2 linked regions of the Anolis sagrei genome follow. The protein of the gene in region 2 interacts with the protein of the main gene of each other region in a pairwise test. Links are inferred from orthologs where the notes say so. Each region holds a gene or a part of one and is shown on either strand. Other genes may lie near its edges.

Region 1 (11,254 bases), on a different chromosome or scaffold from region 2:
TTAAACAAGGGCTGGATGGCCATCTGTCAGGGGTGATTTGAATGCAATATTCCTGCTTCTTGGCAGGGGGTTGGACTGGATGGCCCATGAGGTCTCTTCCAACTCTTTGATTCTATGATTCTACGATCATCAATACCACCATAATCAGGCACAGCTTCATCCTGGCAAATACACATTCTCAGCTCTCAAAATATTGTCATTTGGCAAATGAGATTGAAAAGTCAGCGCAAGTCCTATTACAGAAATATTTGTTTTTCATTTGCTGAAGCGGGAAAAGTGAAGGTGCAAAGAATTTTTGCATTCCAGGATAACCTTTTCCATATGTGCTTTCTTCAGAGAGTCTTTGTGTATGTGTATGTATGCACATACACATACACAGATCTCAGGTGGGTGGAGTCCCTTTGGCAAAGGAGTCGAGAAAGAGGCCCCTCTCACTGGGACTTGGGCACTTCTTCTGCAGAGGAAGACCACATCCTTCCTCCCAAACAGCTGCTAATTGAGTCTGAAAAGTTCATTAAATGCACCAGGTATTTGCTTGATACTTTGCAGAGCATTTTCCCTAGAGCAGCGTTACTCAACCTTCCCTTTAATACACTTCTTCATGTTGTGGGACTCCAACCAGAAAATTATTTTCATTGCTACTTCATAACTGTCATTTTGCTACTGTTATGAACATAATGTAAATGTCTGACATGCAGGATGTATTTTCACTCACTGGACCAAATTTGGCACAAATACCCAATACACCCAAATTAGAATATTGGTGTAGTTGTGGGGGTATTGGTTTTGTCATTTGGGAGTTGTAATTGCTGTGATTGATAGTTCACCTACAATTAAAGAGCATTCTGAACTCCACAAATGATGGAATTGGACCAAATTTGGCACACAGAACTCCCATGACCAACAGAAAATACTGGAAGGGTTTGGTGGGCATTGACCTTGAGTTTTGGAGTTGTAGTTCACCTACATCCAGAGAGCACTGTGGATTCAAACAATGATAGATCTGGACCAAACTTAGCAAAAATACTTAGTATGACAAAATGTGAATACTGATGGAGTTTGGGGGAAATAGACCTTGACATTTGGGAGTTGTAGCTGCTGGCATTTATAGTTCACTTACAATCAAAGAGCATTCTGAAATACACCAACAACGGAATTGAACCAAATTTGGCACACAGAACTCCCATGGACAACAGAAAATCATGGAAGGGTTTGGTGGACACTGACCTTGAGTTTGGGAGTTGTCACCCACATCCAGAGATCTCTGTAGACTCAAAACAATGATGGATCTGGACCAAACTTGGCAGAGATACACAATATGCCCAAATGTGAACACTGGTGTAGTTTGGGGAAAACAGACATTGACATTTGGGCATTATAGTTGCTGGGATTTATAGTTCACCCACAATCAAAGAGCATTCTGTAACACACCAGTGACAGAATTGGGTGAAACTTCCAACACAGAACACCTATGCCCTGAAAGGACTTGCTGGCACGAGCCTCCTCCAGCCTCACACTCTCCCTTGCCTGCACGAGCGCATCATGCTGCCATGCACCGAGCACGTCTGCTCTCCCCTCCCTGCCTGGAGTCTCAGAAACAGCCCTCTGCTTGGCTGAGTGGCCGACCAATCTTAGTTACTTACTTACTTAGGCGATCCCTCATTGTCTGAGTAGGATAGTCTTTCAAGATTGGTGTACTGGCGATGGTTCCGTAGGTGAATGTGGAGCCCTATTCTTGATCTGCATCTTCTCCCGCAGTGAGGGCATTGGTTTTCAGGTGGAAGGTGGTCCTGCTCGGGGTTGGCTTGGCACATCTTCCTCTTGGCACAGTTCTCTCTTTTGCCCTCCATTCGTGCCTCTTCAAATTCTATAGCACTGCTGGTCACAGCTGACTTCCAGCTGGAGCGCTCAAGGGCCAGGGCTTCCCGGTTCTCAGTGTCTATGCCAGAGTTTTAAAGGTTGGCTTTGAGCCCATCTATAAATTTCTTTTCCCGTCCTCCAACATTCCATTTTCCATTCTTGAGTTTGGAGTAGAGCAACTGCTTTGGGAGACGGTGGTCGGGCATCCGGACAACGTGGCCGGTCCAGCGGAGTTGATGGCAGAGGACCATCGCTTCAATGCTGGTGGTCTTTGCTTCTTCCAGGATGCTAGCATTTGTCTGCTTGTCTTTCCAAGAGATCTGCAGGATTTTCTGGAGGCAGTGCTGATGGAATCGTTCTAGGAGTTGCGTGTGATGTCTGTGGACAGTCCACATCTCGCAGGTGTATAGCAGGGTTGGGAAGACAATAGCTTTATGAACAAAGCTGTTGGGATCCAATTTTCCTATGAGTAATAACCCAAAGTCTGCAGAATAATGGGAGTTGCAGTCTTACAGGATTTTTCATCTTCTCTGCAAAGGACAACTCCCAGGATCCCATCGCACTGAGCCAGAGGAGCTGCAAGTGGGGCCAAACCGCATTCATTCCTCATGTTGTACTTTGTTCTTTCTGGATGGCACATTGGAATTATTGAGATAACAAAACGGTTGGATTGATCTGATGCAAGTTCCTATTTGAAACATGCCTGGCAATAACCCTGATCTAGTTACTAGAAAAGGAAAGTGAAAATCCCTTGGGCTGGAGAAGGCCCCTGCCTTGCCCAACCATATTTCTAGTCTTCCAGGCTGAGGAAGATGGGAGTCCGAGAATCCGAGAGTCGGAAGGGGTCCCCAAAGGTCATCCACTCTAACCCACTTCTGCCAGACAGGAAAGCATAATCAAAACCTTCCCAACAGATGCCCATAATAGTAATAGTAGTAAAAATAGAACTATAGAATCCTAGAGTTGGAAGGGACCTCAGGGGACATCTAGTCCAACTCCAATCTACAATGGAATAAAAGCACAATCAAAACCTTCCTGACAGATGGCCATCCAGCCTCTGTATAAATAATAAGAGTAATAATAATAGTACTATAGAATCAAAGAGTTGGAAGGGACACCCAGGGGACATCTAGTCCAACCCGAATCTACAATGGAATAAAAGCACAATCAAAACTTTCCTGACAGATGGCCATCCAACCTCTGAAGAAATAATAATAGTAATAATAATAGAACTATCGAATCTTAGAATTGGAAGGGACACGCAGGGAACATCTACTCCAACACCCAATCTACAATGGAACCACAATCAAAACCCTCCTGAGAGATGGCCATTCAGCCTCTGCATTAACAACAGTAATAATAATAATAATAATAATAATAATAATAATAATAATAATAATAGAACTACAGAATCTTAGAGTTGGAAGGGACCCCAGGAGATATCTAGTTTAATCCCAATCTACAAGGAAGTAAAATCCTCCCAATAGATGGCCATCCAGTCTAAATAATAATAATAATAATAATAATAATAATAATAGAATGCTAGTTTTGGGAGGGACCTGAAGGGCCACCCATCCCATCCTTCTTTCTGCCATTATGCAGGAAAAGGATGATTAAAACCCTCCCAACTGATGGCCATTCAGCCTCTGCATACTGATGATGATTATAATAAGGTTGTGTAAATAATAATAATAATAATAATAATAATAATAATAATAATAGAACTGTACAATCCTACAGTTGGAAAAGTCACCCCCTCAAGAGCCTTCCAGCAGAACCCCCTTCTGCCATTCATAATAATAATAATAATAATAATAAGCCATTATGCAGGAAAAACACAATCAAAGCTCTCCTGGCACCAGCCTGTGTCTGAAATCTATATCATAGAATGCTAGAGTTGGAAGGGACCCCAGGGGCATCCAGACCAACCCCTTTTTTTCTGCCATTATGCAGGAAAGGCACCATCAAAACCCTTCTGACAGATGGCCATCCAGTCTCCGCATAATAATAATAATAGTAGTAATAATAATAATATCCTAGAGTTGTAAAGGACCCCAAAGGCCACACATCCTAAGATGCTTCTTTCTGCCATTATGCAGGAAAAGAACCATCAAAACCCTCCGGACATGTCCATCCAGCCTGCATAATAATAATAATAATAATAATAATAATAATAATAATAATAATACCAATAATAATAATAGAAGACTAGAGTTGGAAGGGACTCCCAAAGGTCATACACCCAACACCCTTCTTTGTGCCATTATGTAGGAAAAGCACCAACAAAACCTTACTGACAGATGGCCATCCATCCTCTGCATAATACTACTACTACTGCTAATAATAATAATAGAATACTAGAATTGGAAGGGACCCCAAGGTCCACCCATCCCAACCCCATTCTTTCTGCCATTATGCAGGAAAAGCATAATCAAAACCCTCCTGACAGATGGCCATTCAGCCTCTGCATCATCATCATCATCATCATAGAAGGCTAGAGTTGGAAGAGACTCCCAAAGGTCATCCACCCAACACCCTTCTTTGTGCCATTATGCAAGAAAAGCACCAACAAAACCCTACGGACAGATGGCCATTTATCCTCTGCATACTACTACTACTACTACTACTACTACTAATAATAATAATAATAATAATAGAATACTAGAGGTGGAAGGGACCCCAAGGGCCACCCAGCCTGACTTTCTTCTTTCTGTCATGAAACACCATCAAAACCCTCCTGACAGATGGCCATTCATCCTCTGCATACTACTACTACTACTACTACTACTACTAATAATAATAATAATAGAATACTAGAGGTGGAAGGGACCCCAAGGGCCACCCAGCCTGACTCTCTTCTTTCTGTCATGAAACACCATCAAAACCCTCCCGACAGATGGCCATCCAGCCTCTGCAATCATAGCAACACTCACCATGGCTGCTCCGGAGGCGAAGAGACTGAAGGTCCTCCGTCCTCCTTCCTCCTCCTCCTCCTCCTCCTCAGTCTCCTCCTGAGTCCGCCCCCTTCGCCCTCCTTCGTTGCTTGGACCCTCCCCTTGCTTCCCTCGGGAAGGAGGGCTTTCTCCCGAGAGGCTGGATGGCCGTCTGTAGGGAGGGCTCGGACTGTGTCTTCCTCTATGGCAGGAAGGGGCCCGACTGGATGGCCTTGGGGGTTCCCTTCCCACTCTAGGTTGTAATGATTCCACGATGAAGTAACAGAATTGTTGGGAAAGGGGTCTGTTCCTGGTTTGAAGGTGTTATTTCCTGTTTCATGGTACAGTCCTTAATTTTGAAACTTTGTTTTAGTTGCACAGACTATGTTGCATTGGTTGAAACTAGAGGAAATATTCACTGGAAAACTAGAGTAAAACCAGATCATCCAGATTATTTGCTTTGAACTGGATTATATGAGTCTACATTGCCATAAAATCTATATCATCAAAGCAGTTAATCCAGATTATCTGCTTTGAACTGGATTATATGAGTCTACACTGCCGTAAAATCCAGATTAGCAAAGCAGTCAATCCAGATCATCTGCTTTGAACTGGATTATACGAGTCTACACTGCCATGAAATCCAGATTATCAAAGCAGTTAATCCATATTATCTGCATTGAACTGGATTATATGAGTCTACGCGGCCATAAAATACATATTATCAAAACAGTTAATCCAGATTATCTGCATTGAACTGGATTATATGAGTCTACACTGCCATAAAATTAAGATTATCAAAGCAGTTAATCCAGATTATCTGCATTGAACTTGATTATATGAGTCTACAGTGCCATATAATCCAGATTATCAAAGCAGTTAATCCAGATTATCTGCATTGAACTTGATTATATGAGTCTACAGTGCCATATAATCCAGATTATCAAAGCAGTTAATCCAGATTATGTGCATTGAACTTGATTATATGAGTCTACAGTGCCATATAATCCAGATTATCAAAGCAATTAATCCAGATTATCTGCATTGAACTAGATTATATGAGTCTACATTGCCATAAAATCCATATCATCAAACCACTTCATCCAGATTATCTGAATTGAACTTAATTATATGAGTCTACGCTGCCATATAATCCAGATTATCAAAGCAGTTAATCCAGAAAATCTGCATTGAACTGGATTATATGAGTCTACGCTGCAATATAATCCAGATTATCAAAGAAATTAATCCAGATTTTTTTTGTCATGTCAGGAGTGACTTGAGAAACTGCAAGTCGCTTTTGGTGTGAGAGAATTGGCCATCTGCAAGGATGTTGCCCAGGGGATGTTTTGATGTTTTATCATCCTTGTGGGAGGCTTCTCTCATGTCCCCGCATGAGGAGGTGGAGCTGACAGAGGGAGCTCATCAGCGCTCTCCCCGGATTTGAACCTGCGACCTGTCAGTCTTCAGTCCTGCCAGCACAGGGGTTTAATCCACTACACCACCGGGGGCTCCAGTTAATCCAGATTAATTGCATTGAACTGGATTATATGAGTCTACACTGTCATAAAAATCCAGATTATCAAAGCAGTTAATCCGGATTATCTGCATTGAACTGGATTATATGAGTCTACACTGCCATATAATCCAGATTATCAAAGCAGTTAATCCAGATTAACTGCATTGAACTGGATTATATGAGTCTACACTGCCATATAATCCAATTCAAAGCAGACAATCTGGATTTAATATGGCAGTGAAGAAGGGGCCTAAGAAAGGTTAGATATATGTAAACATAGCTGTGCTAGAAATAGCAGAATGGAAAAGTCACTTGTCAAAAGAGGCTATTGTTTCCTTTGCAGGGCATCCTGTTCCTCTTTCCTTTTGGCTCCCTTGCGCTTCCTCTTCCTCTTTTCCTTCCTGTTTGGGGGCCCCTTGTTTCCTTTCTTGATGCCTCCCTGCTTCCGCGACCCCTTAATACAGTGCCTCACGTTGTGGTGACCCCCAACCATAAAATTATTATTATTGTTACTTCCTAATTGTAATTGTGTCGCTGTTATGAATCATAATTTAAATATCTGAAATGCAGGATGTATTTTCATTCACTGGACCAAATTTGGCACAAATACCCAACCACAGCGCTCCATGCCGTCATGTCAGCCACATGACCTTGGAGGTGTCTATGGACAACACCGGCTCTTTGGCCTAGAAATTGACCACCAACTGCCAGAGTTGAACACGACTGGACTTAATGTCAGGGGAAAACTTTTACCTTATCTTACCCAATATGCCCAAATTTGAATACTGTTGGGGTTGGAGGGAGAATTCATTATGTCATTTGGGAGTTGTGGTTGCTGGGATTTATAGTTCACCTACAATCAAAGAGCATTTTGAACTCCACCAATGAAGGAATGGGACCAAACTTGGCACACAGAACTCCCACGACCAACGAAAAATACTGGAAGGGTTTGTTGAGCATTGACCTTGAGTTTTGGAGTTGTAGTTCATCTGCATTCAGAGAGTATTGCAGATGGATCTGGACCAGGGGCTGCTCAACCCATTACGCAAAGTAAGCATTTACAGTATAGTTGATTTTGCCCAGGGGCGCTGTTGAGGCGCTCTTGGGGGAAAACAGACCTTGACATATGCGAGTTGTAGTTACTGGGATGTATAGTTCACCTACAATCAAAGAGCATTCTGAACTCCACCAATGATGGAATTGAACCAAATATGGCATGCAGAACTCCCACAACGAACAGAAAATATATATCAGTGATTGGTTGGGGGGGGGGGGGGCAAAATACTGTTTGCTTTTAAAAAAATATTTAAAAACTCTATTTAAAAACTCTAAAATTACAACAGCAAAACAGCAGAGAGGAAACAACCAGGTACATCTTAACACCTCTCAACAAAAGATTTTCCCAGGCTCAGCCAAGCCTTCAAATGCTAATGAAGGTGGTCAGTTGAAACATTCACACCTAGCTCCAGCAGAGAAAAGCTCTTTGCCCCACCCCAGCCATTCCACAGATATATAAACCCATTGTCCTAATTCCAACAGACCTCACTACCTCTGAGGATGCTTGCCATAGATGCAGGCGAAACGTCAGGAGAAATGCCTCTAGAACATGGTCCTATAGCCCGAAAAAACCCACAAGGACCTGTTTGCTTACCGTTGGGAATTACCTAGGGCCGCCTCTGATCTGGACCAAACTTGGCACAAATACTCAATATGCCCCAATTTGAACACTGGTGGACTTTGGGGGAAATAGACCTTGACATTTGGGAGTTGCAGTTGCTGGGATTTATAGTTCATCTGCAAACAAAGCACATTCTGAACTCCACCAATGATGGAATTGGTCCAAACTTGGCACACAAAACCCCCATGACCAACAGAAAATACTAGAAGGGTTTGGTGGGCATTGACCTTGAGTTTTGGAGTTGTAGTTCACCTACCTCCATAAAGCACTATGGACTCAAACAACGATGGATATGGACCTAACTTGGTACGGATACTCAATATGCCCAAATGTGAATACTGGTGGAGTTTGAGGTGAATAGATCTTGGCATTTGGGAGCTACTGTGATGTATAGCTCCCCTGCCATCAAAGAGCTCGGAAGGGTGTGCGGGGGGCCGGGCAGAAAGGCTGCCCAAATGGCAAGGCCGTGTGGGTAGTCCTACGCCTGGCCCCCGCGCCCTTCCGAACTCGGAACGGCACGGGTGCTGGGCAGCTCTCCCTTGCCCAAATGGCAAGGGTCAGTAGCTATTTTAGCAGGGCTGGGGCCAACCAAGGCAGCTTCGCGACCCCCCAAAATGGTCTAATGACCCCCCTAGGGGTCGCAACCCCCAGGTTGAGAACCACTGGTTTAAAAGCTATGTGACGTGAAGGACCAATTTTTCTCATTGTCTTTTTATGGACTTTGCTGCTCCCAGTGAATTTAGGGCCCTCCCAGCTCAAAAAAGGAGTCGGTTGTGATTTTCCACAGCAGAAAGAAACAGGTTTGAGTTTGCAAAACAGCTCTGAGTGCATTCTATTCAACAGAAAACACAATTTTATGGCCTTTTTAAATTGCTGTTCTCACCGAGTTCAAGGTTACCAGTTGTGCGCTCAGTGAGCCTCGTTTAGATCTCACTCAAGAGCAGGAAACAACAACAACAACAACAACATTTATCACATCAGAAGCAAACCGAGGGTACAGTTGTAATATATTTAAAAACACAAAGATAAAAAACTTGGCATTGTACTAAATGTCCTTTGACCATAATAATAGTAATAATAATAATAATAATAATAATAATAATAATAATACTTTATAATATTCCCAATGGCCAAGCGATCAAGTGTCACCAGCCAGAGGCCTATAAATATCTGGGCATACTACGGCTGGACAACATCAAACATGAACATGGTCAGCAAAGAATACATTCAAAGGGTCAGAAAAATTCTCAAAAGCAAGCTCAGTGGAGGCAATACCATCAAGGCCATAAATACCTGGGCCATACCTGTCATAAGATATACTGTTGACATCATAAACTGGACACAGGCAGAACTGGACAATTTGGACAGAAAAACAAGAAAACTCATGACCATTCATAATTCACTACATCCTCGCAGTGATGTTGACCAGCTCTATCTGCCTAGAAAGTCTGGTGGCAGAGGACTTTTACAAGTAAAAGGCTTATCTGGCCAGGGTGGTCCATGCCTTGGTCACCTCAAGATTGGACTACTGTAATGCGCTCTACGTGGGGCTGCCCTTGAAAACGGCCCGGAAATTCCAACTAGTCCAACGGGTGGCAGCCAGGTTGTTAACTGGTGTTCCTTACAGAGAGAGGTCAACCCTCCTGTTTAAGGAGCTCCATTGGCTGCCATTCATCTTCCGGTCCCAATTCAAGGTGCAGGTACTTACCTACAAAGCCCTAAACGGTTTGGAACCCGCCTACCTGCGTGATCGCATCTCCATATACGAACCCACACGATCTCTCCGATCATCTGGAGAGGCCCTGCTCGCGATCCCACCTGCGTCGCAAGCGCGTTTGGTGGGGATGAGGGACAGGGCCTTCTCTGTGGTGGCCCCCCCCTCCCCAAGGATATTAGACAAGCCCTAATGTTGGCAGTCTTTAGGAAGAGCTTGAAGACGTGGCTGTTCCAGTGTGCCTTCCCTGAATAGGAAACTCCTAGCATCATGTCCCAAATGCACTTTACTAGAGATTTAAGATTGTCCGCACACCGCACCTATGACCGCACTTCACCTGTCATGTCCAGCATTTTTTAAATTTTTATCCATTACATTTGGCCCAGCCTCAGTTTTTAAATGCATTGTGGTGTTATTGTCTAATGGTTATTGCTGTTGTTTTAATGTTATTGTTTTTTTTATGAGCTTATTTATTGTTGTATTTGTTATACTGTTGTTTTATTGATGTGTTGGCCTTGGCCTCTTGTAAGCAGCACCGAGTCCTCCGGGAGATGTTAGCGGGGTATAAATAAAGATAATAATAATAATAATAATAATAATAATAATAATAATACAAGCAGTCAAAGAAGAAAAAACACGCCCTGGCAGAATATGTCAAGGAAAGCCAAGAACCTGCTTTAATTGAAGTCAATAATCAGAAACTTCTCAAAGCACAGCAGACAAAGAGTCAGTGCAAGAAAACTGCACAACAAACCAGAGCTGACTGCTGGCACAACAAAGCCTTACATGGGCAGTTCCTTGAGAAGAATGAAGGAAAAGTTGACAAGGAGAAGACCTGGTTATGGCTCCTGAATGGAACCCTGAAGAAGGAGACAGAACGCCTGATTCTTGCAGCCCTGGAAAAAAGCTATCAGAACCAATGCATTTAAGGCCAGGATTGAAAAATCAGCGGATGACCCAAAATGCAGGCTGTGCAAGGAAGCTGATGAAACTATGGATCATCTCTTCAGCTGTTGCAAGAAAATTGCACAGATGGACTACAAACAAAGACACAATTCTGTGGCCCAGATGATTCACTGGAACTTATGTCACAAGTACCACCTGCCAGCAGTAAAGAATTGGTAAAGGGATGATAAAACCCACAAAGGTCATGGAAAATGAACATGCAAAAATACTGTGGGACTTTCGAGTCCAGACTGGCAAAGTTTTGGAACACAATATGCCAGACATCACGATTGTGGAAAAGAAATAAGTCTGGATTATTGATGTTGCCATACCGGGTGACAGTCGCATTGAGGAAAAACAACAGGAAAAACTCAGCCGCTCTCAAGACCTCAAAATCGAACTGCAAAGGCTCTGGCATAAACCAGTACAGGTGGTCCCAGTGGTCATCGGCACACTGGGTGCCATGCTAAAAGATCTCAGCCGGCATTTGGAAACAATAAACATCGACAAAATCACGACCTGTCAACTGCAAAAGGCCACCTGACTTGGATCTGCGCACATCATTCGAAAATACATCACACTGTCCTAGACGCTTGGGAAGTGTT
Region 2 (10,319 bases):
CAGAAAAATCGTTCTTTTTTATCCTGGTTAGGAAAATATGTTCAGAATATAAAGCTCTTTTGTAGCTAGTTACTGTTATCCTATTACCTATTTTAGTGGCTACTCTATTTTCTAGAGACTTTGCAAATACATGTTAAAACTGCAGATTCCTAAGAAACCTTGGGGATCCAAGGACTTTACATTATAATCAAGAGAAACTATTGGTAAGAGCTAGAGCGCAGTGCCAAAAAAAGAAACACCATGGAAAATATATTGCCAGATGTGACCTTTGCCACTGTAAAAACGTTATTTAAATGGTATAAATGTAAGTTCACAAGTTGCTAGTTACAAAGCAAACTGTTTACACAGTTGAATCCTAAGTATAAAAAATGCCTATTCATGCAGAAAGTGGTGTTCATGCAAACAAGTGGAAAAGACGTGAAGAGAGAGCTACTAGTGGGCTCTTTCTCAGATAGATGAATGATCTGAACTAAAAAAGGAAATGAAAACAGCTGATGTGGTTCTTGTCAGTTACTAGCCAGAAAAATCTGCGTTATTTTTAAAGCAAGGAATTTAGGACATGCCAAACCGGCTGCTTTAGTTATTTGAATATGTCTGAAAAACATCAGGATATTTCATTCATATGAACTGTGTTTGACTTTTTTAACAATAAGAAAACCCTGTCAATACGGACGCATTTACCACCATGCCTCACGCTAAAACAGGGAAGTCTACATAGCTCTGGAAAGCAAGTTGCCAAGAAAAGCCATAGAGAAAGGGTCAGCAACCTACAACCTTACAGCCATGTGGCCTGCAACCTACAAACATCTGCCTATTTGGTGAGAACATGGGAGAGGGCCCTTTCAATGGCTGTTCCTACTCCTAGGCTGTGGGACTCCCTCCCAAGACAGACCAGGATGGCCCCATCCCTGCTGGCCTTCCACAAGTAATTAAGACATTTCTTTGTGGATGAGGTGCAAACTGCTAGGAAGGTTGTGTGTGGGCTTTGATGGAGGGGGGATTGTGGGCTTTGAATAAATTTTAATGGTATTCCTTGTATATTAACTTTCATATCCACCTACAAATAAATAAATAATAAATAAATAAATAAATAAATGTTTCATTTTTTTAAGTATTTGACTTATTTTAAATTTGTATTTGGTGTATTATATTTGTTAGCTGCCAATAATAATAACAACCTTTCCAAAAGTACCCTATGTGTAACCTGACTCAGTAAGAGCAATCTGACTTTTCCTAAAAGTTATATGAATGGCAGATGGGGCAAATAGATATATTTCCTTTTGGCTCTGGCTCTGTCCACTTTTTACTTCAGAACCACACATTACAGGCATATAAGCCTGCTAAGATTACTTTGAAGCAGGCCTGTACAACCTGCGGCCCTCCAGGTGTTTGGGCATCCAACTTCCAGAAGCCCTAACCAGCCTGTTCAATGGTCAGGAATTCTAGGAGCTGAAGTCCAAAAGACCTGGAGGGACAAAGTGGTGCAGGCCTGCTCTGAAGGAATGTAGCCCATTCAGAAAGCTTACTTGTCTCTGAAGCAGGCAGATGTGGCCTTCAAGATGTCTTTTGACTACTCATGTGCTTTCAGGGCAAACCTTGCCCAGTTTTGCACCCCAGCTTTCATTGCGACCCCCAATCTGTTTTCGAAAGCCTCCCGAAATCGGGATGTATTTTTGGATTGGGACACCGAATTTTGGACCAATATTGGGGGGGGGGGGGGGGGCTTCCCATCCACTGGCACCTCTTCCTGAAGTTCTCCTTACTTGGCACCCGCTGTTGCTCCTCTGCAGGCAGGTCCAGAGTGAACCTGCAGGTCCCGCCAGCCGCCTCACATGCCCCACCACACTCGGAGAGTGTGTGGCAGGGCATGCAGACAGCCTACAGGCCCCGCCACATTCTCGGAGAGAGAGTGTGTGGTGGGGCCTGCAAACAGGCCCAGAGTGTGCCTGCAGCCTAGAGCCAGGCCTGCCCAAATGCAGGCAAGGAGGAGATTTTGGCTTGACACAAATGAAACGGTAGGAACAAATTTCGCACACATGGCAACTTTTCATTACAATCCATCATACTTGTCTATGTTGGCTACAAATGATTCCCAATTTAAGCCAAGAACACATCTGAAGGGATACAATCACATGTCTATGTTCTAGAGGACACTGTACTTCACAGTTTTTGTTATTTTGTGCCTTCAAGCTATTTCCAACTTATTGCAATCCTATCATGGGATCCCCCATCATGGGCCTTCAATTTGTTTTACCATAAATTGTAAGCCACCTTGGATCCTGTACTGGGAGAAAGGCAGGATAAACATTAAATAAAGGAGTACAAAATAAGAAAATGAAAAGAAAACCAGTTCACCTCCCTTCCAAATGCAATGCAAAAGGTAGAAAACCTGAGTGAAACTTGCAGCCACCAAAAGACCCATACCTTCCCTCCTGTCAGCTACAAAATAAAGGTGTCCTTAGCTATTTGTAAGGAATATAACACACACTATTGAAGACCTGCACCCATCATGGAGCTGTGACTGGCTACAAGTCCTTGTTAAGAATACACAGGAACAAAAATTATTTGCTTCTAAGCATGTTTGACATTGCTTACCTTTAAAAAGCAAATATGACAATGGGTAGAGAAATTTACACCCTCTGGGCATTTTGAATTATAATAATCACTATCCTTTATCATTTTTTAAAAAATGCTGACAGAAATGCATGTGCCAAAATACTCTCAGCACTCTTTCCCCAGGGGAAAAAATCTACACCAGGCAGGGGCAAACTCTGGGCCTCTGGGTGTTTTGGACTTTAACTCCAACAATTCCTAACAGCCTTCCTAACAGTCCAAAACACCTGGAGGGCCAAAGTTTGCCCATGCCGGATCTATATTGTAGGATGAGTGCAGTATGACACCAGTCGAACTGCCATGGCTCAATGCTATGGAATCATGGGAGTTGTTGTCCTGCAAGGTTTAGTTTTCTCTGCCAAAGGGGTGCCAAACTGCATTAACTCAATAGTACAGAAGCACCTTAAGAGGGTTTCCTTTAAAGCCCATGTAGATTTATTTATTTATTTATTTATTTATTTATCTCGTATACCGCTACTCCCAATTTGGCTCGGAGCAGTTTACAGAAGCAGATTAAAACAATACAATTAGCTTTAAAAATAACAATAACAAAACAATAGGCGGCGAGAACAGGCATAGATCAAGGTTCCATGTTTTTGAAACACCGAAAAAAGGGAAGATGGTTGGGACATTATCAGGGATCAAATATAGTTTGGGGGCATAGGCTGCACTGCCTCTTTCCTTGCTTGTTAGTTAAAGAGGTGTCAAGCTGCATTCATTCTACATAACTTCATAACAGGCAAGTCCCATAACAGAATGAAAAACCCCACCTGGGGGAATGAATCTCTTAATGCAACAAATCCTTATGGAGAAAATAAACATGTTATGGTTTTTATGATTTTTTTGTTGATTTCAATGTATAATGCATATTGTATTTGTATGTTTATGTTTATTGCTGTATTGATTATTGCCAATTTGGAAGCTGCTCTGAGCCCCCTTTGGGCTTGAGATAGAGCAGGGAAAAATACAGTATAAAGAAGGTAAAGGTTTCCCTAACATTAAGTTTGATCATGTCCGACTCTGGGGGGGTGGGCTCATCTTAATTTCTAAGCCAAAGAGCCGGCGTTGCCTGTAGACACCTCCAAGGTCATGTGGCCAGCATGACTGCATAGAGTGCCATTAAAGGTAAAGGTAGTCCCCTGACATTAAGTCCAGTCATGTCTGACTCTGGGGTGTGGTGCTCATCTCCATTTCTAAGCCGAAGAGCCAGCGTTGTCCGTAGACACCTCCAAGGTCATGTGGCCAGCATGACTGCATGGAGCGCCGTTACCTTCCCGCCGGAGTGGTACCTATTGATCTACTCACATTTGCATGTTTTCGAACTGCTAGGTTGGCAGAAGCTAGGGCTGACAGAGGAAGCTCATGCCGCTCCCCGGAATTGAACCTGTGACCTTTCGATCAACAAGCTCAGCAGCTCAGTGCTTTAACCCACTGCGCCACAGGGGGCCATTACCTTCCCGCATAAGCGGTACCTATTGATCTACACACATCTGCATGTTTTCAAACTGCTTGGTTGGCAATAACTGGGCCTAACAGCAGGAGCCCACTCCACTCCCTGGATTTGAACCGCCAACCTTTCGGTCAGCAAGTTCAGCAGCTCAGTGGTTTAACCCACTGCACCACCAGGGCCCCCAAAGTAAAATAAATAAACAGAAGAGGGAGGAAAGTATGAGAGAGGAAACAAAGAGAGATACAGAGCGAGAGAGAGATGCTTGCTATCAGACAATTCTAAAAACAGCGAAATGTGGGATACAGTAGGACGAAGGGGGACTCACCGCAGCAGCCATGCTACGTGAAGTCAGAGGGCTGGAGCTGTAACTACTCACTTGCTCAGCCAGCAGCTGCCGACTTTGGATCGCGTTGTTCCGCAACAACAAGAACGCGTCTGTTAAACGCCGGGTGGCCATGGCGCTAGGCTTCTTAAGGGACTCCCTTAATCACCAAAAACCCAAATATATTAACCTATGCTTCCCACAGGTGGGCCAGATTCCCAAGTTGGCTTCCTCTCAGTGTAAAGTCCTTCAGGTGGAAGGTTGAGAGGATTTGGAAACCATGAAAGGAGCATGAAAAGGATCCCTCCTTTAAGTTGTGGCCTTTTCCTCTATCTTTCTCTCCCCCAGATCCTTAAGTTAGCTTTTCCCCCTTAAAAAAATCAGGACTAAACCACTAAATAAACTATGAATTCCACAAAAAGTGTGCTCTCTCTCTTTCTCTATAGACCCCTAAAGGAGCTTTCCTTCAAGACAAAATCTGGACTTCTTTTAAAGCAGAAGGTTGAGAAGATTTAGGAAGAATTACAGGGGCATCCAAGAGATCCCCTTGAACCAAAACAATCCAGAGGCCATTCCTCTATCCCTCTCCCCACCAATTCCTAAGTTAGGACAAAGTCCTTGATTCATATCTGGATCTTTTGGAAACCATGACCCTTAAAGGCACCCTGAAGGCTCCTCTCCTTGAATAATCCCTTCTGGGACAAGGCAGAGCCCTATTCTCGGCCCCCTCCAGCACCCCTCATCTTTCCTCTCCCCGGCCCCGGATGGATCTGCCTCTGACCCCTTCAGCACAGCTCACTTCCGCATTGTGCCCCGGGAAAAACTTTCCCCCGCGCAGTAAGGAGCCGAGGAAGAATAGTTCCGGGCGGTTCCAGGACCGGATGTAGGGAAACGAGGAAGGAGAGAGAGGCGCAGTTGTTGCTTTGAACTTCAACTCCCAGAAGCCCAACGCAGCCTGTCCCTTGATCAGGCATTCTGGGAGATGAAGTCCAAAGCACACCAAGGACCAAACTTTGGGGATTACACACAGTAAAGTGGATGCAGCCTGGCATCACTCAGTGATGTGGAATCCTGAACTCAAGGCTGTGGAATCCTGAGAGTTGTAGTGGTGTTAAACTGTATTACTTCTACAGTGTAGACCAGGCATGGGCCAACTTGGGCTCTCCAGGTGTTTTGGACTTCAACTCCCACAATTCCTAACAGCCTAACTAATAAATCTTTAGCATGGATTTAGATGAAACTCATAGAGTTTCATCTATGCTGATGATTTTGCCATTACTGCTCAAGCAGGGAGCTTTGAGACGGTAGAACAGAAGCTCTCCGAAGCTCTAGGTGCTCTTACTGCCTATTACAGGGAAAACCAACTGATCCCTAATCCATCTAAAACACAGACATGCGCCTTTCACCTTAAGAATAGACAAGCATCCCGAACTCTGAGGATCACCTGGCAAGGAATCCCACTGGAGCATTGCAGCGCACCCAAATACCTGGGAGTCACTTTGGACCATGCTCTGACCTACAAGAAGCACTGCCTGAACATCAAACAAAAAGTGAACTTCAACTCCCAGAAGCCTAACGCAGCCTGTCCCTTGATCAGGCATTCTGGGAGATGAAGTCCAAAACACTCCAAGGACCAAAGTTTGGGGATTGCACACAGTAAAGTGAATGCAGCCTGGCATCACTCAATGCTGTGGAATCCTGAGAGTTCTGGTGGTGTTAAACTGTATTACTTCTACAGTCTCTACAGGAGAGACTTATTTTGCATAGAATTATGGAAAAAATAGACCCCTGTCTGATCCCACAGCAAGCTGGCTTCAGAAAAGGCAAAAGCTGTACATCGCAAGTGATGAACCTGACTCAGCACATAGAAGATGGCTTTGAAAGGCAGCAGATCACAGGAGCTGTCTTCATAGACCTGTCAGCGGCTTATGATACTGTGAACCACCGCCTCCTCCTGAGAAAAATGTATAATATCACAAAGGACTACCACCTCACCCGCCTCATAGGAAACCTGCTACAAAACAGGAGCTTTTTTGTTGAGTTTCAGGGCCAGAGAAGCAGATGGCGGAAACAGAAGAACGGCCTGCCTCAGGGGAGCGTGCTTGCCCCATCCATGTTCAACATCTACACAAATGACCAGCCACTGCCAGAAGGGACAAAGAGTTTCATCTGTGCTGATGATCGTGCCATTACTGCTCAAGCAGGGAGCTTTGAGATGGTTGAACAGAAGCTCTCCGAAGCTCTAGGTGCTCTAACTGCCTATTACAGGGAAAACCAACTGATCCCTAATCCATCTAAAACACAGACATGCGCCTTTCACCTTAAGAACAGACAAGCATCCCGAGCTCTGAGGATTACCTGGGAAGGGATCCCACTGGAGCATTGCAACACACCCAAATACCTGGGAGTCACTTTGGACCGTGCTCTGACCTACAAGAAGCACTGTCTGAACATCAAGCAAAAAGTGGGTGCTAGAAACAATATCATACGAAAGCTGACTGGCACAACCTGGGGATCACAACCAGATACATTGAAGACATCTGCCCTTGTGCTGTGCTGCTCTGCTGCTGAGTATGCATGCCCAGTGTGGAACACATCTCACCACACTAAAACAGTGGATGTGGCTCTTAATGAGACATACCGCATTATCACGGGGTGTCTGCGCCCTACACCACTGGAGAAATTACACTGCTTAGCCAGTATTGCACCACCTGACATCCGCTGGGAAGTAGCAGCCAATAGTGAAAGGACCAAGGCAGAGACATCTCCAGCTCACCCCCTGTTTGGGTATCAGCCAGCACGTCAACGACTTAAATCTAGAAATAGTTTTCTAAGATCTACAGAGACACTTGCTGGAACACACCAGTAAGCGAGAGTCCAAAAGTGGCAGACTCAAACCCAGAACCTCAACCAATGGCTGATACCAAATGAGAGACTCCCCCCTGGGCACACAGAGGACTGGGCGACTTGGAAGGCGCTGAACAGACTGCGCTCTGGCACCACGAGATGCAGAGCCAACCTTAAGAAATGGGGCTATAAAGTGGAACCCATGACATGCGAGTGTGGAGAGGAGCAAACCACTGATCACCTGCTGCAATGCAACCTGAGCCCTGCCACATGCACAATGGAGGACCTTCTTGCAGCAACACCAGAGGCACTCCAAGTGGCCAGACACTGGTCAAAGGACATTTAACCAACTACCAAACTCACAAGTTTTGTATTTGTCTGTTTGTTTGCTTTGTTCTGTTAGAAATGTAATATAATGGACTGGTTGCTCTGACACAACAAATAAACTTCTACAGTGTAGATCAGGCATGGGCCAACTTGGGCCCTCCAGGTGTTTTGGACTTCAATTCCCACAATTCCTAACAGCCTAACTAATAAATCTTTAGCATGGATTTAGGCCAGGCATGGGCCAACTTGGGCCCTCCAGGTGTTTTGGACTTCAACTCCCACAATTCCTAACAGCCTACTGGAGAGGTTGAGAGGAGACATGATAACCATGTATAAATATGTGAAATGATGTCATAAGGAAGAGGGAGCGGGTTTGTTTTCTCCTGCCCTGGAGACTAGGACTTGGAGCAATAGGCTCAAATTACAGGAAAAGATATCCCACCTGAACATTAGAAAGAACTTCCTGACCGTATGAGCTGTTCAACGGAAGAACTGTTGCCGAGCATAGACCCCTCCCCCTCCCTGGGGGTCAAAATACTAAATTGATAAAGTTGGCACTGCAGCAAAGAGTTCCACAGCGGGGATCAAGGAATTAGCTTGGGGATGTAGGAAGAAGCCCAGCAGCAGCTACTGGCGCCCAGGAGACCTTTTTTGAAACTTTTTGCCTCAATGTTCCCCTTACTACTAGTTATATGGTTTCTAATCCTTAAATAAACCTGGTTATCCTTAATTTTTGCCTCTCCGTCTCTATTTTTGCTCTCTGAGTCCTTTTCTTACTCGCTTCTGCAGTCTGCAGTCGGCCAAGTGTTTGCTTGGGCCACATGACCCACAGCCCTCCACGGCCCTAGCAGCAGAACTCTCCTTCCCATTTCCCCTTGCATTTACTTAAACTTTGCCCAAGTAACCCCGTGTCAATGCTAACCTTCCCCATGGATACTGAGACCTACCCAGTCGCTTGGTTTCCCCAGATATACACAGATCTCTTGTATACATCTTCCCTTCCCCATGAATATTTATCTAACTATCCATTCACAGGGTTCCCTCGATATCCATGGAACTTTTTTGTGCGCCATTACTATATTATATTTTATGTCTCAACATAAAATCCTTCTTGGAGAAGCATACCACCAACCAAGTCTTTGTGACGATCTTTTGCCCACATTTCCTGACCCGAGAAGTCCATCCAGCATCCAGCTGTTTTCCTGAGCATCATCTACATAAGAACAACTCAATCACCCATCACCTTCAGGACAGTCCATCTATACTGGCCTCATAGACCCTCGACTGAGCAGATGATGATAGGATCCATGTGCTGGGCTGCCCATCCTTTGTCCCAGTCACTTGGACATAGCAATACTATTCTTCACCTGGCATGATCATCCAGTATGCCAGCGGAGCATGCCCCATCTCCAACAATGACATTTCCCCTTTCTGAGGAACAAACCACTTAATCCTATCAGCATGAACAATATTTCTGCTTTTGGCTCTGTGGATAACAGTGCCAGAGACGCTGGATCCATTCGCTGGGGACTCAGATGGCAATCATCTTAACAATAAACACTCATGAGACCAAATGCGCCCCCCTTTGTTTATCTCTTGGCAGGGACCCGATAATCCATTCAGAACACATTTCAGCACCTTTGTCTTCTGGACTAACCAACCCCTCATTAGGAGAGCGACTATCTGCATTGAGAGTGGGGAATGCTCTCCTATTGACCAGCGAGTGCCACAGTCCTGTCTCTGCAAGGAATCTTCCCACAGCTATTCCAACGTCATTGGCGAAGCCAGGTCCAGCTGGGCGGGAGACGGATTTTCAGAGGGTTAAAGTGTATAAAAATGTATGATTTGCAATGTTTGGTATCTCAGTTTACTTTGGCGGATTATCGCAGGCTGGCATCACTTCAGCTGATTTCAGTAAACATGTCAGTGGCTACTTCTTCAACTTGGTGAGATTTATTTAAGAATATTGGACTTCTTTGTCTCTCCAGGTGCATGGGCCTACAGGACGGCCTGTTGCCATTACCTGTAACCAAGTATTGGAACTTGGTACCTGCACTTCAGGTTTAATTATCCGCGGCTCGGATCTCACTATCTGTGGCCATTTAAAATTGCTGTATTTCAGAACTCTGCCTCAGAGTGAGGTGGAAGCTCTTTCCTTGGAAACTTTTAAACAGAGGCCGGATAGCCATCTGTCAGGGATACTTCATGCTTTTTCTACATGGCAGGGGGTTGGATTCTATGGCCCATGTAGTTTCTTCCAATTGTATGATTTTATGATTCTACAGCATAATATTCTATTCTAAAAAGATTAATGGAAGTGGACAATTCCCAGGGGTCAGATAGACTTCAAAAAATATGCCAAAACAAACAGACAGATATATATGTCTTCATGTTACCTGTGTTTTGTGCTTTAGCACCTTGTTAACTTGGATGCTACAGGAACAATTCTTAGAATGTCCAGCCAAATCTTGAGTAAAAATGTGACAATGCACAGCATGACTATTGGAAGCGAGTGAGCGAGTAAGTTGTCTCTTTTTTGCTGCTTTTGGCTTAAAGTCAGTCCTGAGTCATAAGTAGCAATATGTGGGAAATCAAATGGATCCAGGAACATAAAGCCAGATGCCAGAACAGACAAGGAATGAATAGTTGTGCACAGAGCCAATGGTAGGACTGTACATTTGCTTTGGTCAAGGCCCAAATTCAGAAATGTAACATGTCACTTCAGAAAAGTCCAGGCTTTGTTTGGGACTGTGACTCCAT

What was found.
Region 1: the proteins of STX16 (region 2) and VAMP5 interact in binary tests that used the Homo sapiens proteins (3 or more experiments, as listed by UniProt). The two-hybrid records come from large-scale screens. The link is inferred for Anolis sagrei from reciprocal best matches to the Homo sapiens genes STX16 and VAMP5.

The regions. Positions count from the first base shown.
Region 1 is NC_090027.1:22,923,099-22,934,352, reverse strand, and holds the start of VAMP5 (vesicle-associated membrane protein 5), read right to left. Parts: upstream 4,996-11,254; 5' UTR 4,797-4,995; coding exon 4,794-4,796; intron 1-4,793. UniProt on the Homo sapiens protein: May participate in trafficking events that are associated with myogenesis, such as myoblast fusion and/or GLUT4 trafficking.
Region 2 is NC_090024.1:228,572,895-228,583,213, reverse strand, and holds the start of STX16 (syntaxin-16), read right to left. Parts: upstream 5,197-10,319; 5' UTR 4,521-5,196; coding exon 4,389-4,520; intron 1-4,388. UniProt on the Homo sapiens protein: SNARE involved in vesicular transport from the late endosomes to the trans-Golgi network.